2 linked regions of the Tamandua tetradactyla genome follow. The protein of the gene in region 1 purifies or fractionates together with the protein of each later gene. This does not show direct contact. Links are inferred from orthologs where the notes say so. Each region holds a gene or a part of one and is shown on either strand. Other genes may lie near its edges.

Region 1 (6,973 bases):
TTTCATCTTTGGAGGCTGTTTAATGGCAGGTACTCAAGTGTGATGGTCAGGTTCATGTGTCAACTTGGCCAGGTGGTGGTACCTGTTTGTCTGGTTGGGCCAGTGCTGGCCTGTCTGTTGTGATGAGGACATTTCATAGAATTAAATCATGATCATGTCAGCTGCATCCACAGCTGATTCCATTTATATTCAGCCAAGGGGAGTGTCTTCTGCAATGGTGATGCTCAGTCTAATCACTGGAAGCCTTTTAAGGAGGATTCAGAAGAGACAGGCTCTTTTCCTGCTTCGGCTGGCGAGCCTCTCCTATGGAGTTTGTCCAGACCCTCGATCGGAATCGTCAGCTTCACAGCCTGCCCTGTGGATTTTAGACTCTGCGTTCCCATGGTTACATGAGACACTTTTATAAATTTTATATTTGCAAGTGCTTCCTGTTGATTCTGTTCTCTAGAGAACCCTAACTAATACATAAAGCTGAACATACATAGGCTGTATGTACACCCAGTCTTCCAGCAATGTGACAATTCCCTGACAGGAGCGTGTGCATGATGTGCTGAGACATGGCAGCATTATTCATAATAGTCTCTAAATTGAAACTTTTAATGTCCAATAGTAGAACAGAGAAATTGTGAATTTCCATGATGGAATATTATACAACAGTGAAAAATGAACAAATTGCAGCTATATATGTAGAACAACATGAGTGAATCTCAGAAGCGTCATGTTGCGCAGAAGAAACTAGATACAAAGCCAGCCAAACCTTATGATTCTATTTGTAGAAAGTTCTCAGACAAGCAAAACTCCAGTGTGAGAAGCCAAGGTGGTGGTTGCCTCTGGGGAGGGACCCACGGTGGCAAGAGGGGATAGTGAAGGAGGCCCCAGGGGGCGGGCCACGTCCTCATTCCTGACTTGGGGGCAGTTACATGAATGTTTGCCCCACGATAGTTGGCTGAGTTGACTCTACGTTTTGTGCACTTCTCTGCACACGTACTGTAACTCCAGGTAAAACAAGTCAGGGGGGAAAAGAGAAGAACACCGAGACCCGTTTCAGGGACCATTGAAAGACGTGCAACTTCCAAAGCAGCCAAGGAGGCAGAGGAGTTAGAGCAGCAGGTGGTGTCACCGAGGTCAGGGAAGGTGGTGGGGGTGGCCAGCAGGGTGGCTGCAGTGGGAGGTCAGCTAAGGGAGGGGGCAAGGACCAGGCAGGCCATCGGATGTTCACTTGGAATTGTCTGCATTGCTCTACCATGAGGTCAACCCCACGAGAGCTGGAGATTTTATCTGTTCTTTTCCCTGCTCTAAGCCTCCTGCCTGCACATAGTGGGCACTCAACAAACATTTGTCATGAATGAATAAATGGGAGCAGCTGGTGAGGAGGGAGGGGGCTGTAGGGGCAGGGTGAGGAGCGGTGGGGCAGGGGAAGGGGTGTGCAGACACAGATGGGGCAGCTGGTGCAAGTGGTGGTATCGGGGTGGTGGTGGCAGCATCCTGGAGAGGTGGAAGGAGCCCCAGAGGCCTGGGCCCTGATGGATGAGGGCAAGGGGCCCCGGGAGACGGAGGACGAGCCCCCGAGGGCGGCAGACGAGACCACCTTGCAGGGGGGCAGGGGCTGATGTGGGGTCTGGTGGACCCTGGGAGGTTAGAAACTCCCAACTTGGGGTGCCCAGAGTGGCTGAGATGCTGACGACCAGGGCAGGGCTGTTATATTGTGGTCTGGGGCTTTCAGCAGACCTGACAGACCAGAAGGATGGCATGGGGGTGGGGGTCTCCCCAAAATCAGTGAGGAAGGGATGGGAGCTGCACGAGGGGGAAGCACAGAAGCCCTGGGAGGCGCATCCAGTGGCTGCGTCCATTTCACAGATAAGGCTGGCCATGCCTTGGCCCCCTCCATCTGTCTTCCAGTGTCCATGGCTTTGGGTGTTTTGTTGTGCTAGGGGTGTAGGCGGAGAGTGGGGTGTTGGTTTAGGGAGCGAGGTGTCGGGTATTTGAGGAGCCCAGGCCTTACGGAGAGAGGAGAACAGATCTTATGCCCTCTGGGCACTCCCAGGCTGGTGGGAGAAAGAAGCCAGTGTGAAAGTCACCTTTGTGTCAGGTAGGAGGTGACCTGAGGGCTGGCTGCGTCAGTGCCAGGCCAGGTGCTGTCCCAGGCAGAAGCCTTACCCGGTCCTTGCATGGACTTTGCACACCTGTGCTGGGACAGGTTGGAGGACTTGCCCAGGTCACTCAGCCAGGAGGTGCTCCCTCCAGGACCTCACCCCTGGTCTAGTCCATTTACTCCCTATGTGGAGGGGGGGAGGGGGGTCTCCACCACCCACAGGTCCATTCTGAGCATTTGTTTTGGATGAAAGCCCAGCTCTAGCTGAGGCACTGCCCTCCGCCACAGCTGGCACCCACCCTGGCCAGTCTTTCCCGTAACCCCCATCCTCTAACCAGCCCTTTCTGAACTTCCTGCCCTCACTGCGGCTGATTTGGGGAGCTGCTTGGAGTCCCCACAAAACCAGATGAAAGGAGCGGAGGGCTTAACCAGTGGGGAAATTGGGTGGGAGCGACTGCACCTCCTGCCGGCTTGAACCCCCACCCCCACCCCCATCTCGGGGAAGCACCAGACACCCTGGCTACCCACTGCATTTCTTCCCTCGCCTCCCAGTCCCTTTCCAAAGACAGACTACTGGGTCCCAAGGGTTGATTTAGAAGCCCCCTGGCCCTGCGATCAGAGCAGAGCACTCAGGGTCACAGGGCCGGGACTTTGCTCCCGGGAACTGGGGGTTCCGCCAGAGAGGGAATAAATACTTGAAGGCCTACTATGTGCTAGGCACCGTGTAAGATGTTGGGGGACACATGATTAAAGGGAGGCAGGCCGGCAGCTCCTGCACGGCGCTACGGCGTGGGGGCGGGGACAGCATTTTGCATGCTTTTGGCATGCACGCGGCACTGTGCCTGCCACTTCTGCTCACCAGGAAGGAAAGGGGTGCGTTAGGTGCAGAAGCGTGATCACGGAGCCAGCATCTCACCCAGCTTGTCCCGGACTGTGCTGACACCCTCCAGCCCCCCTGCCCCCACGCCCCAGCTTCTTCACGGGGCCCATTTTGCGCTCCTGGAGCGGGGGAGGGGGCTAGAAGGGACCTGACCCACGCCCCCTCTTCTACCTGCCGGCCACTTGGGCTGTGGGCCGGCCTCGGGACCGCTGCCCTCCCACCCCCTCCGCAGTGACCCATTCTCCAGGTACGCCGCCCCAGCTCTTCAGCGGCCCCCCACAACCCAATCCACCCAAACGTCGGCCGCCTCTTCTATTCCCGGAGCACCGGGGCACCAAGACGCACCCTCAAAGCTGAGCTGACCCGCTCCCCGTCCCTCAAACCGACCGCTTCCTTCCAACCTCCCCTGCGGCGCACTCGGGCTCCCGAGGTGCCCACCCGCGCGGGGCCGGAGCCCCGAGCCGCCGCCTGGGCCTGGCGCAGGTTCCACCTGCGGGGTCGCTCGTGGGCCGGCGGCGCGGGGCGCGGGGGCGGAGGAGCGGGCGGCGCGAGGGAGGGGCCTGCGACAGCGGCGGCGGCCGCCCCAGCCCGCGCAGCCCGGCTCGGCCCCGGCTCGCTCGGCGCAGCGCCGCGCGCGTCCCCTCGCCGCCGCCGCCGCCGCCGCCGCCTGGCGCCCCGCAGCCCGGCCTCCGGGCGCACGACGCAGCGCGCACGGGCCGGCCGGGATGCGCGCCCGGCCCCCGGCCCGCCCGACCCCGCGGCCGCCGCCCGCCCGCCGCGCGCTCGCCTGACCGCGGCGCCCCCGCCCCCCGCCCGGCCGCCCCCCACGCCCGCGATGCCCGCCCCCCGGGGCCCCGGCGGCCCGCGCCCCTGCTAGGCTGCGGCGGCATGGCCCGCGCGCCCGGCGCGACCTCTGCGGATTGCATCGGTGTGCGGCGGCGGGGCATGCCCAGGGCACCGGGCACGGCCTTCAATGGGCGAGGACACGGACACGCGGAAAATTAACCACAGCTTCCTGCGGGACCACAGCTATGTGACTGAAGGTAACGTACGTGTTGTCTGAGACCCCCTCCGGCCGGCCGCGGCGTGGGGATGCCGTCGCACCGAATGCCCTCCGAAGGTTTGGACCGCGCGATGTGTGTCGTGTCACCCCACCCCACCCCACCCCACCCCACCCCGCCCCACGCGCCCCGGGCCCAGGAGGGAGGGAGCCGGGGGTCAGCAGCCAGGGCCCAGGCGGGGTCGCCTTCCCTGCCAGGCGGAGAGGCGATGCCCTCCTCCGCGCCGCCCTCCGGGAGTCACCGCGGGAGGCAGCTTTTCGCTCCGTGGCCAGGTGGCATCCTGAACCGCCCCGGCCATCGTTTCTGAAAAGGCCATCCCTTCGGCTAATCTGGTGAAGGAATCCGGGGGGGGGGGGGGGGAAATGTAATGGGTTAAAACCCTGAATTTGACATTTCAGCCCTGCCCAAAACCCGCAGAATTTTCTAGGCTGCCCACTCCCTGGAGACGAAGAGGGACCCAGAAGAAAAAATCCAATTGCCGGGTCCTTGGCTGTCCCTCCTCCTCCCCTCCCTGGGCCTCTGGAGGCAGGGGTCCCTTAGCGGGAGGGGGAAGGAGGCCGCTGGAGTTTGGTCTTTTATTCTTGGTGATTTATATACTGAGGCAGGAGGAGCTGGCCGGAAACGGTCAGGATTTCCCTGAAAAGTGGGACATGCCTCCCCAAACGGGCCCTGCATTTGAAATCTCCCAAGTCGGCCATAAGAATCCAGAGGGTCACCGTCCCTTTTTTGTAGGTCAGTAACTTCCAAGGGGCCTTGCCTAGGGGACAGCGGCGACACCTCCGGTGCACGGCCAGAGGGCTGCGGAGTGAGCCCCGGGTGGGGGGTGGGGAGGCTGCGGGCGCCGGGTTCATTATTCCCGAGGCCTTCCGTGTCCACGGGCGGTGGGCATCTTCCCAGGAGCTGCAGAAGTGTTGGTGGGCTTTGGGCAAGGGGTGCCCCTGGTGGGTGCCCATGTGGGAAGGGCTCTGGGGAGGGGCTCACTGAGGGGCCCTGAGCACTGCAGCCCACAGCGTTGGTGTGCGTGGGTGCTTGTCTCAGGGAGCTCGCGGGGCTCAGCGGCAGTTTGCGTCTGCCAGCCCGATGCCTGGATGCCTGGATCTGCCGGAAATGAGGCCGAGTCCCGGGGCTGGAGCCCTGTGGGGCCGGGAGAGCGCGGGGCCCCGGCAGGTGGGCTCCCCCCTGTTCCTGATCTGGTGGCAGGGGAGCATTGGATGGGGGTGGAGTGTGCCCCCAGTTCCCTGAGGAGAACCGCTGAGTCATGCTTTGCTGATGGGCGTGTGCGTGTGTGTGTGTGTGTGTGTGTGTGTGTGTGTGTGTGTGTGGTGGGGGAGGGGGCAGGGCTGCAGGGCTGGGTGAGAGAGCTGCTCCCAACCGGGGGCCCTCACAGCTGCCCAGGAGGCTGAACGCCACCCTATGTCTGCTGCCTGGGTGAGGCTGAGCAAGGATGGGCCTGTGTCAGGGTTGTTCTTTCTCTGCTCCTAGCCTGGTGGGCAGCAGAGGGTTAAAGAGGCCTCTGGGTCGCTGGCAGGGGGCCCAGCGGCCTGGCTTTGGTGGAGAGGGGAACTTGCCAGGTCCGCTCAGCTGTTCCCCAGCATGGCCTGGCCCCGCCTCCCCGGGGACACCTCCGTTTTATCATCTGTGCATTGGGGGTGACAGCACAGGGCCAGGTGTATGATTAAAAGTAAAAAGCAGCATGCCTGACCCTTAGTAGACATTACAAAGGTTGATTTTTTCCCTTACTCCATTCCCCATTTTATTTCAGAATTTCACGAGTGCTCGGCAGAAGAGAGCAAGGACAAGTGTGTAGCTATAGGAGAAAGAAGAAATGGCTTTTAATCCCTTTTCAGTGGTGGCAAGCCACTGTTCTAGCCCTGAGAGCAGGCAGTCTATATTCTAGCAGGGAGCCCTGGGCCCTTGCGGGTGTCTCTTCTCACTGGTACTCAGTTTCTTGCCTGTGAAATGGGAGCGAATGATAGCTTCCCAGGTGAGAGGGTGCGTGAGGGAGCCGCCTCGGAACTGCAGATTGCTGATGAGTGGCTAACTCCTGCTGGGGCCTCACCCAAGCATTCCTGTACCCTTGTCCCCACATTTTTAGATGGAAAACCTCAGTGTCTCAGTGTGCCAGGGCTGCTCCTTTAAATCCCACACTCTCGAGTAGCTTCAATGGCAGAAACTGACTGGCTCTGTTTTGGAGGCTAGAAGTCCAAAATCGAGGTCTTGCCAGGCCATACTTCCTCCTGGCGTCTGTAGCTTTCTCATGCTGGCTCGCCACCATTCTTGGGGTTCCTTGGCTTGTGTATGCATTTCTGCTTCCATCCTGCGGTGACCTCTCTCCATCTTTGGCTTCTGTTTCCATATCCAGTTTCCCCTGCTTACAAGGACGTCTGCCACATTGGAGGAAGGCCCACCCCTGTTCAGTCTGGGCTCACCTTAGCATCTTCACCAGTCCTACCCACAAATGGGTTCACACTCCAGGAACAGGGGTTGGGACTTGAACATGCCTTTGTGGGGGACGCAGTTGCACCCAGACTGAGCACCAGTGTGCATAAGGTATAGAGTCAAGGGGACAGGGGCAGAACTCCTGCCTTCAGGGAGGGCAGGGTCTAGTAGAGGAAGCAATTAATAATACTTATTAGAATTTTAGGAAAACTCTGGCTTCCTTAAGTGAAAACAGACTTTAACACTCTTGCATCCCTGACTGCATTTTATGCCCAGAGCACAGAGTAGATTACAGAGCTGGACTTCAGACAGAACTTGAGTTGATATCCTGCTTCTGACTCTTCACCTGCTATGCAACCTTGGAAAAGTTTCTTCCTTTTGCAAAGGGAAAAGTAATAGTGATCTCTCTTAATGGGTTGTTGGGATGACCAGGGACTATGCTAATGTAGAAAGCACCCAGCAGAGCCACAGTGCCTGTGGGAGGAATTGGATACACTTTAT
Region 2 (8,052 bases), on another chromosome or scaffold:
GGTAGAGAGGAGTGGACAGACAAGATGGACTAGGAAATCCCCTTTACATTTAGGCTTTCTCCCAAATATCATGGAAAGTCACTGGCCTTTCTGGGGTTAGGAAATAAGCTATCAGTGGTATCTTGATTAATTTATTCATATTAAACAGAATAGGTTGGACATGGTAGAGATTCCTAAATGGGAAAATACATTACCTTAGCAAAAATAGTTAAGTTAGAGCGAAAAACTGATTTGTACCCCATTCAATCATACACATAAAGACTCCAAGTGTCTACTGTGTCAGCTGCTGAAGCTACCACAGTGGACTAAACAAATGTGACCCCTCCTCTCATGTAGCTGACGGTCCTAAAGTGCAGACAGTCACTGAGTGGAGTCACCATGCGTGTTATTATACCCGGAACAATGCAATGAGAGCACCTAACTTAGTCCACGGAGCTGCAAAATACAACCTGAGGAAGTGGTATCTCAGAGAGATGAAGTTAAAGCAATGACTTCTTCATGAAAAACAGGCCTGGGGGCAGAAGCACGACAAGTAGGCTGTATGGATGAAGACGTCTTATTCTTGCGCTTTATTCAAGGTGTGACAGAAGGAATGGGCTGGTAAGGAGGAAGGGCTCATCCATGGGGGCCAGGCTGAGATGCTTTCAGGCCGGAAAGTCATCGAGCTTTAGAAAACTAAAGTCTGTCATGTTCCCTGTCAGCTATTCTTGGTGAGGGAACATATATATATTTTTTCCTTTTTACTGGGTTTGGGGATTTTCCAAGGCCTACGGTAGGTCACCCACCTTCTCCTTCCACGTGCTCCAGAGGCATCAGTCATTTGATGGTTCATGTAGAGTGGTATAGAGATAGAAGCTGAAATTCATCTCTCAATTCACCACTTGAAAATTTGTTAATTTCCATGCAAGTGCACCGTTAAATTATTTGAGCCCACCCTGTGTGTATAAGGACGTGCTATCTACTGGATTATAAGGTTTGAAGAATCTTTTACTCACAGCCTATACTAAAGGAATGGTATTTCTCATTAGACAATGTACAACAGAAGATTAGGTTGGGGAGCCGCAAAGAAGTCAGGATGGAGAAAACAATGAAAAGTCCTTTACATACCTTATCTTATGTATTTCCCACAACAGCCCTGTGAGATCACTAATCCCCATTTTATTTCAGGAAACAGGAAATCTGCTCATGATTCCACAATGATTACATGGCAGCGCTGGAATTAACGTTGGGCCTGCAGATGCCAATTATGCTCTTTACCACTGCACTATATACTCTGTGAAAAGAACTAATTAAATCTATGTTCAAGGAGGGCAGAGTGGGTGTCTCTGTTACAGGAAGCTAACCTCCTACAGTTAAGTGGGTAGGCTCTGGAGTCAGACGGCCTAAGACATTCTCCTGGCCACCACTGGGATTGTCCCACTCAAACTTATTATCTATTCACTCTAGTCAACACCTTGTCTTAATGGAGCCCTGTTCATAACATCTTATTATAAGGGGAGATAGAAATTTACCTAATAATTATTGAACATCTACCATATAAGAGATCCAGTTCTAGGCATTGGGAATACAGCAATGTTCCCATTTAGTGGGGAATGCAGAACAAACACACCTGCTTTCCAATTAACCAAGTAAAAGGGAAAAGCATATATACAACTAGAATCATTTTCCCATAGGCTGAGGAATTGGGGAGGTCTGGCGTTTAAGGGAGGGGAAACAAGGTCTCTGACACACACCTCTTCTGCTAGTAGGACGACTAGTGTGCTGCTCCATCTGGACACCAACAGGTGTGGCACCTGGGAAAGAATCACAGCATCACATAATCAACAACTCTTGACTGTATAGACTGTATGTGCATGGAGATTTCTCAATAAAAATATACATATTTTAAATACATGCTATTATTTTTACTATTGACAACTTCATAAGCTGTCTTGAGCAAGTTTCAAGCTGTTTTAATTTGGAGAGGAAAGGGTGTGCTCTATTTCATGGCCAAATATAAGTTATTTATCAGCAATCTACCGTTCTATTACTACTGTTTCTATTATTATTGCTTCCTTTCTTCTGGACAAAATAGTAATTTAACCAACTTATTTAAACTTACAAATTTAAGTTTCCTAAGAATGGGTCACAACTAGCTTAAATGAATACCATAAGTGCATGGAACCTTGAGTAGGGCATGAGATTTTGTAGGCTTGTCCAGAGTGATGCCCCGATAAATCCCAGAGTGATTTGAACAGTGAATAAAAAAGTATTTGCAAAGTTCCCTTGGGGGGATGGTGAGAAGGGGGGGAAATTCAACTTTCCCAAGTGGAGAATTCCTGATGTTCTCACAAGCAGTGGGAACAACCAAAGCAATAGGCTGAGTCCCCAGTCTTGGGGTTTGTTCATGTGAAACTTAAACCCCCAAAGGATAGGCTAAGCCTACTTAAAATTAGGCCTGGACAGGCCATGGTGGCTTAGCAGGTAGAGTTCTTGCCTGCCATGCCAGAGACCTGGGTTCGATTCCCGGTGCCTGCCCATGTTAAAAAAAAAACAAAAAAAATAGGCCTAAGACTCACCCCCAAGGAGACATCTATTGTTGCTCAGATGTGGCTCTCTCTCTCAGCCAACATGACATGGAAACTCACTGACCTCCCCCTCTCTACATAGGTCATGACTCCCAGCGGTGTGGACTTTCCTGGCAACGTAGGACAGAAATCCCAGAATGAGCTGAGACTCAGCACCAAGGGATTGAGAAAACCTTCTCCATGGAAAGGGGGAAGACAGAAATGAGACAAAATGGAGTGTTAGTGGCTGAGAGATTCCAAACAGAGTGGAGAGGTTATCCTGGAGGTTATTCTTACACATTAAATAGATATCACCTTCTTAGTTAAGGTGTAATGGAGAGGCTGGAGGGAAGTGCCTGAAACTGTAGAGCTGTGTTCAGTAGCCATGTTTCTTGAAGATGATTGTATAATGATAGAGCTTTTGCTATGTGACTGTCTGATGGTGTAAGTCTTGTGTCTGATGCTTCTTTTATCTACCTTATACACATATAAGGTAGATAAAACATACCTTATAAATAAACAGATAATATGGATTAAAAATAAACAGATAATAGGGGGAAGAAATGTTAAAATAAAAATTTAGTAGATTGAAATGCTAGTGATCAATGAAAGGGAGGGGTAAGGGGTATGGTATGTATGAATTTTTTTGTTTTCATTTCTTTTTCTGAATTGACACAAATGTTTGAAGAAATGATCACGATGATGCATATATAACTATGTGATGATATTGTGAATTACTGATCATATATGTAAAATGGAATGATCATATGGTAAGAATGTTTATGTTTGTATGTTTAATAAACAAAATAAATTTAAAAATCAACAAGAACGGGTTACAAAATCCCGACAGAAAGCAGCCCCAATTTCTCTCTGGTTTAACAGGGTATTCTCTTCATGTTTAATTTCTGCAGTATCATCCCTTTTCCTGTCCTGCACAGCAATTTTAAATATCTGGCTCCCCATCAAAATCTCTAAGGGATCAGCAACTGAGTGCATGGTGGGGGTGCAGGGCTGCCATGCGGAAAGAGAACCTCAAAGCACTAGACAGAATTTTTTTTTTCTTTTAAAACTTTTTTTATTGTATAGTATAACATATATACAAAGCAAAGAAATAAAAAAGCAATAGTAGCACTCTTCAAAAAGTGGTTACAGGATAGATCCCAGAGTTCGTCATGAGCCACAACACCATCCTCTCATATTTTCCCTTCTAGCTGCTCCAGAATATAGGGGGCTAGAGAGCTTAAATACGTTTTTATCATCACAACTGACTTTTTTTCCTTCTTTTTTGTGAACAATAACATATATTAAAAAAGCTATAAATTTCCAAGCACAGCACCAAAACGAGTTATAGAACCTATTTCAGACTTTGACATGAATTACAATTTCACAATTTTAGGTTTTTACTTCTAGCCTCTCTAAAATATTAGAGACTAAAAGAGATATCAATTTAATGATTCAGCATTCATATTCATTTGTTAAGTCCTATCGTCTATGTATAATTTCACCACCACCTTTGATCTTTCCATACCTCTCATTGGGGTTGTTTGGGCTATGGCAATTTTAAATTTTTGATATTGGAAGGGTCTTTCATAATATGGATTTGTTATTATTTTTAACACCAGCAACACATTTATACACTACCTCGGGAGCTAAGAATAGTTCATAATTGGAACTGAAGACATTTTCATTATATTGAAAAGCTTTGTGTGATTTCCTCAGGTGAACAGGCCATAGGCTTCACTCCCAAAGAAATTTTAAAAATGCAGAGAGGGAAATAAAGGGTACCAGAAGAAGCGAGAATGGGAGTAGACAATGACAATGACACTCCTGACGGGCACAGGATAGAGAAAACAAAAAGGACATTTCAGGGGGAATAAATTGCAAGTGACAACAAGGATAACAGGAAACAGAAACTAGACAGAATATTTGAGCAAAGGTTTCTGATAAACGAACTAAAAAAAAAAAAACGCAAACCATCTACCGCTACAGGTTTAGTAAACACGGGCCTAAGAAGGGAAAGTTTCGCACATAGTCATGCGAGTCCAAAATCGATGAGCCACAACTCCCAGGGTGCCTGGGGAAAGGCTCGGTGCGCTCAGCCCGCTAAAACTACAACTCCCATCATCTCCCGCACCAAACCGACCAGGTCTTTCCTAAACGGCCAGTTGAAATTCAGACCTTCTATTCCTTCTCGTTGCTAAAGCCGGAACAAAACACTGGAAACTGTCACACTTTCCTTGAACTCCGAAAAGCACTGAGGCTCAAGACACTTTAAAAACCTCACCTGCGGCGTTAATCCAAAGCCTCAACCCCAGCGCCCGCCCCTCAATGTAGCTGATGCGCATGCGCAGTAGGGTGTGGCCAACTGCCTGAGCCTTGGCGCTTGCGCTGAAGTTCGCGCTGCACGCGGTCAGGATCGGCCACCCTATTGCGCAAGCGCCGGTGCCCTACCATTTCCATCTTCGCGCTCTCTCTATCTAGCTTGCCCTGCCGTTCTTGCGTGGGAGGCGGGACTAACGATGTCCATTGGCCTGTTTTCTTGTCGGTTAATGAGCTACGTGCGGTGATTGGCGGCGGCTGGGAGAGTAGCGGGTTTAGGTGTAAGCCCGGAGGAGACACCGTTTTCTGGGCTTTTGCTTGGTTTTCTTTCTCTAGAAGGTTCTGCCGCCTCCCCAGCTGTGGGTACCCGGCTTTGTATCACGTCGCCATGATGGGCCATCGTCCCGTGCTCGTGCTCAGTGAGTTCTGGGGAATCCGGGGAAGGGCCTCTTTTTCGCTTCCATCCCGGTACTCTTCTCAGTGTTGCCTCAGTAGGTCCCGCCCTGGCCCGGCCACCGACTCTCCTAGTCATCGGGCTCGTTTAGGAAGTCCGCTTTCCTCCTTTTTCTTAACCCATTCTCCCCTCTACACAGACGCAAACTGATGCTTTTCTTCGCCGATCCTCCTGCCTTTCCTTGTATTCATATCGGGAGGCTCCTTGCCACTCGGTCCGGTTCCTCGCCCCAGGCCCCTGCGCCCTGTCGTAGTCCTCTTGCGGGGTTTTCAGTGTGGTGTAATAATGAAAGAATAATGTGTTTTGTTTTTTTTTCATTAGGCCTAACTTAATTTCCTTGGCTCACCCCTTGTTAGCGTGTCTTCGGGCAAGTTGTTTGTGTTTCGATCTGTATAATGGGGTTAATAGTATTTCCTCGTAAAATTGTGGAGATTAAATAAGTAGGCAAACTGCTCAGAAAAGGATCTTGCAAATAGTGAATGGTATTCTTGGACACTTACCATTGATTCCTTTTAAATTTTCATTCAGTAATTCCTGTTCCTGAAGTAACCTTTCTTCTCCCACTGGTTTTTCTTCAGGTGTAATCATTTCCTCTGTGACTGCTGCTTTGTAATCTTTCCCTCTAACCAGCTGTTTTCCAAGTTTCTCTTTTAGAGTGGTTCTCTTTACTCTTTGGAAATATCCTTAAGTTCTTTCTGATTTACAGGCTGCACCTCCATTGTCTTCCCCAGGTATATTTCCATTGTGTGTTTAACTTCTATACACCTAAGGTGCCTGTCTGACCATTTCCCTTACGCTGCCATGTTTATACAGAATGCTGTTCAGAGTTTTTATCCATTTTCTTTATACCTAGGGAATACCTTTTAAGAAGATTTTTTTTACAAAAAATTTTACTTTGTCCTGAAAAAGTTATTTTCTTTCTGAAGGTTTGTAGGTCCATGCAGGTTTTTAGTTACCACTGCCTGAGATAGGAATGTAAACCTTGAGGGTTTGCAGGTGTTTAAATTTGATGAGACTGGATTGAAAGATTTATAGAGTTAAATTAACTTGTAGGGGAATATGTAACTTGGTGAGGCATTGCCTTGGTTTATGTCCATTGAGGGGGTCCTGGGGTGAATAGTGATATGTGAAGTCTTTTTCAGGTCTGCAAATAATCCCTACTTGAATTATGTGAATGTTTGGATAGCGGGAAGGTGATAACCAAGATTCCACAGTTGAAGTGTTATGGGGTTATTTCTTAGTATATCAGAAATCAAAGTAAATAAAGAGGTAAATAGCCATAAGTATGAATTTTTAACTGCTTCTTGAGATACAATTGATTAGTAAGTTTTGACCTTTATGTATACCTGTATCTTTATTTTTACTTTCAGAGGTTGGGGGATAAATGGCTTATGTACAGTGGAGCCATTATGGGCTGTTGCCTTTTTGTTTTTTATCTCTCAGGCCAGAACACAAAGCGTGAATCTGGAAGAAAAGTTCAGTCTGGGAACATCAGTGCTGCCAAGGTAGCATATCTTTTAAGTGTTTAGAGTGTAGTAGTTTGCCTTTTAGTATTTCTTTATTTCTTCATAGTGATAAATCCCATGTGCAGTTAGAGGAAAAATTGTTTTCAGGACATTGCCCTGATGAGATGGAGAGGGAAGGGGGCCCTCCCCTCTGAATTAGGCCTAATAGTTTTTTTACATAAAAACTATTTCTGTTACTGTAGTTGTTTTTAAATATTCTATTCGTATTTGTCTCCCATACTGTACTGAGTTATTTGAGGGGAAGGAATTACTATTAATTACTTTCTATATCCTAGGGCCCACTGTAGGTCCTGTGTGGGCAGTCAGTAATTATATTTTGAATGAAGGAATGAAGTATCTCTAGACCAGATTTAAGGTGGTATGGAAATCACTGTCATGGAAAGAAAGACTGATACTTCTAGGAGGCCTTTCCCCTTTTTTCTGGTGAGGTTGTTTCTTTCTACATCCACTCTGAAAACATTCCCTGAGGGGATGAGAGCTAGGCACAGGGCATGCTCTGTAGTGGTTACCAACCTTACTCTAAAGTAAAGGTGTCATTGTTAAAATTAAAACAGTGGCTATGCATATTACCCATGCCCCCTTCTACCACTCTCACAGGCCTCAGACTTGTGCTTTTTTTTTTTTTCAATGTTTTCTGTCCATTAGACTATTGCAGATATCATCAGAACATGTTTGGGACCCAAGTCCATGATGAAGGTAGGCTTGTCTCTTATTGAAGTTCTCAGACTACGAATTTTATTTTCCCTTTCTGTTTTCTGGGACTCTCAAATATAACTTTTGCTTCTTAGATGCTTTTGGACCCAATGGGAGGCATTGTGATGACCAATGATGGCAATGCCATTCTTCGTGAGGTGTGACTTTTCATTTTCTTTTCAAACAGTTTTATAAATAATAATATCTATAAAGAAGTATGTATGTAGGTGGTCTGTCAAGTAAATAAGCTAAAAGCTACTCTTCTGGGAACGAATAACTGAGTTGGCATAATGCATTTTTTCCCAAAAAGTAAGAGTATTGGGAAAGTGGAATTACTCTTTTTAGTCTTTCAAGGTGTGGTAAGGAAATAAAGGGAAAGAGAGTAAGTGTAGAGCAAGAAGCTCAAAAGTTAGGGCAAAGCAGAATGGGTTTAGAAGTCTTTGAGTGGTATTAAGTCTTTTTTTTTTTTTTTTCCTTCTCCCCCAGATTCAAGTGCAGCATCCAGCAGCCAAAT

The links. Proteins that work in one complex are often made in the same cells at the same time.
Region 2: the proteins of PPP2R2C (region 1) and CCT3 purify together in Homo sapiens (affinity purification with mass spectrometry; 4 studies listed by BioGRID and IntAct, counting the BioPlex papers as one, with this or other methods). This does not show direct contact. The link is inferred for Tamandua tetradactyla from reciprocal best matches to the Homo sapiens genes PPP2R2C and CCT3.

The regions. Positions count from the first base shown.
Region 1 is NC_135345.1:6,446,928-6,453,900, forward strand, and holds the start of PPP2R2C (protein phosphatase 2, regulatory subunit B, gamma), read left to right. Parts: upstream 1-3,900; 5' UTR 3,901-3,945; coding exon 3,946-4,015; exon of another isoform or gene 4,016-4,064; coding exon of another isoform or gene 4,065-4,092; intron 4,093-6,973. UniProt on the Homo sapiens protein: The B regulatory subunit might modulate substrate selectivity and catalytic activity, and might also direct the localization of the catalytic enzyme to a particular subcellular compartment.
Region 2 is NC_135330.1:9,339,640-9,347,691, reverse strand, and holds the start of CCT3 (T-complex protein 1 subunit gamma), read left to right. Parts: upstream 1-5,049; 5' UTR 5,050-5,253; coding exon 5,254-5,284; intron 5,285-6,762; coding exon 6,763-6,824; intron 6,825-7,490; coding exon 7,491-7,541; intron 7,542-7,633; coding exon 7,634-7,696; intron 7,697-8,024; coding exon 8,025-8,052. Other genes in the region: TSACC (TSSK6-activating co-chaperone protein), read right to left, coding at 1,734-1,793, 4,831-4,891. UniProt on the Homo sapiens protein: Component of the chaperonin-containing T-complex (TRiC), a molecular chaperone complex that assists the folding of actin, tubulin and other proteins upon ATP hydrolysis.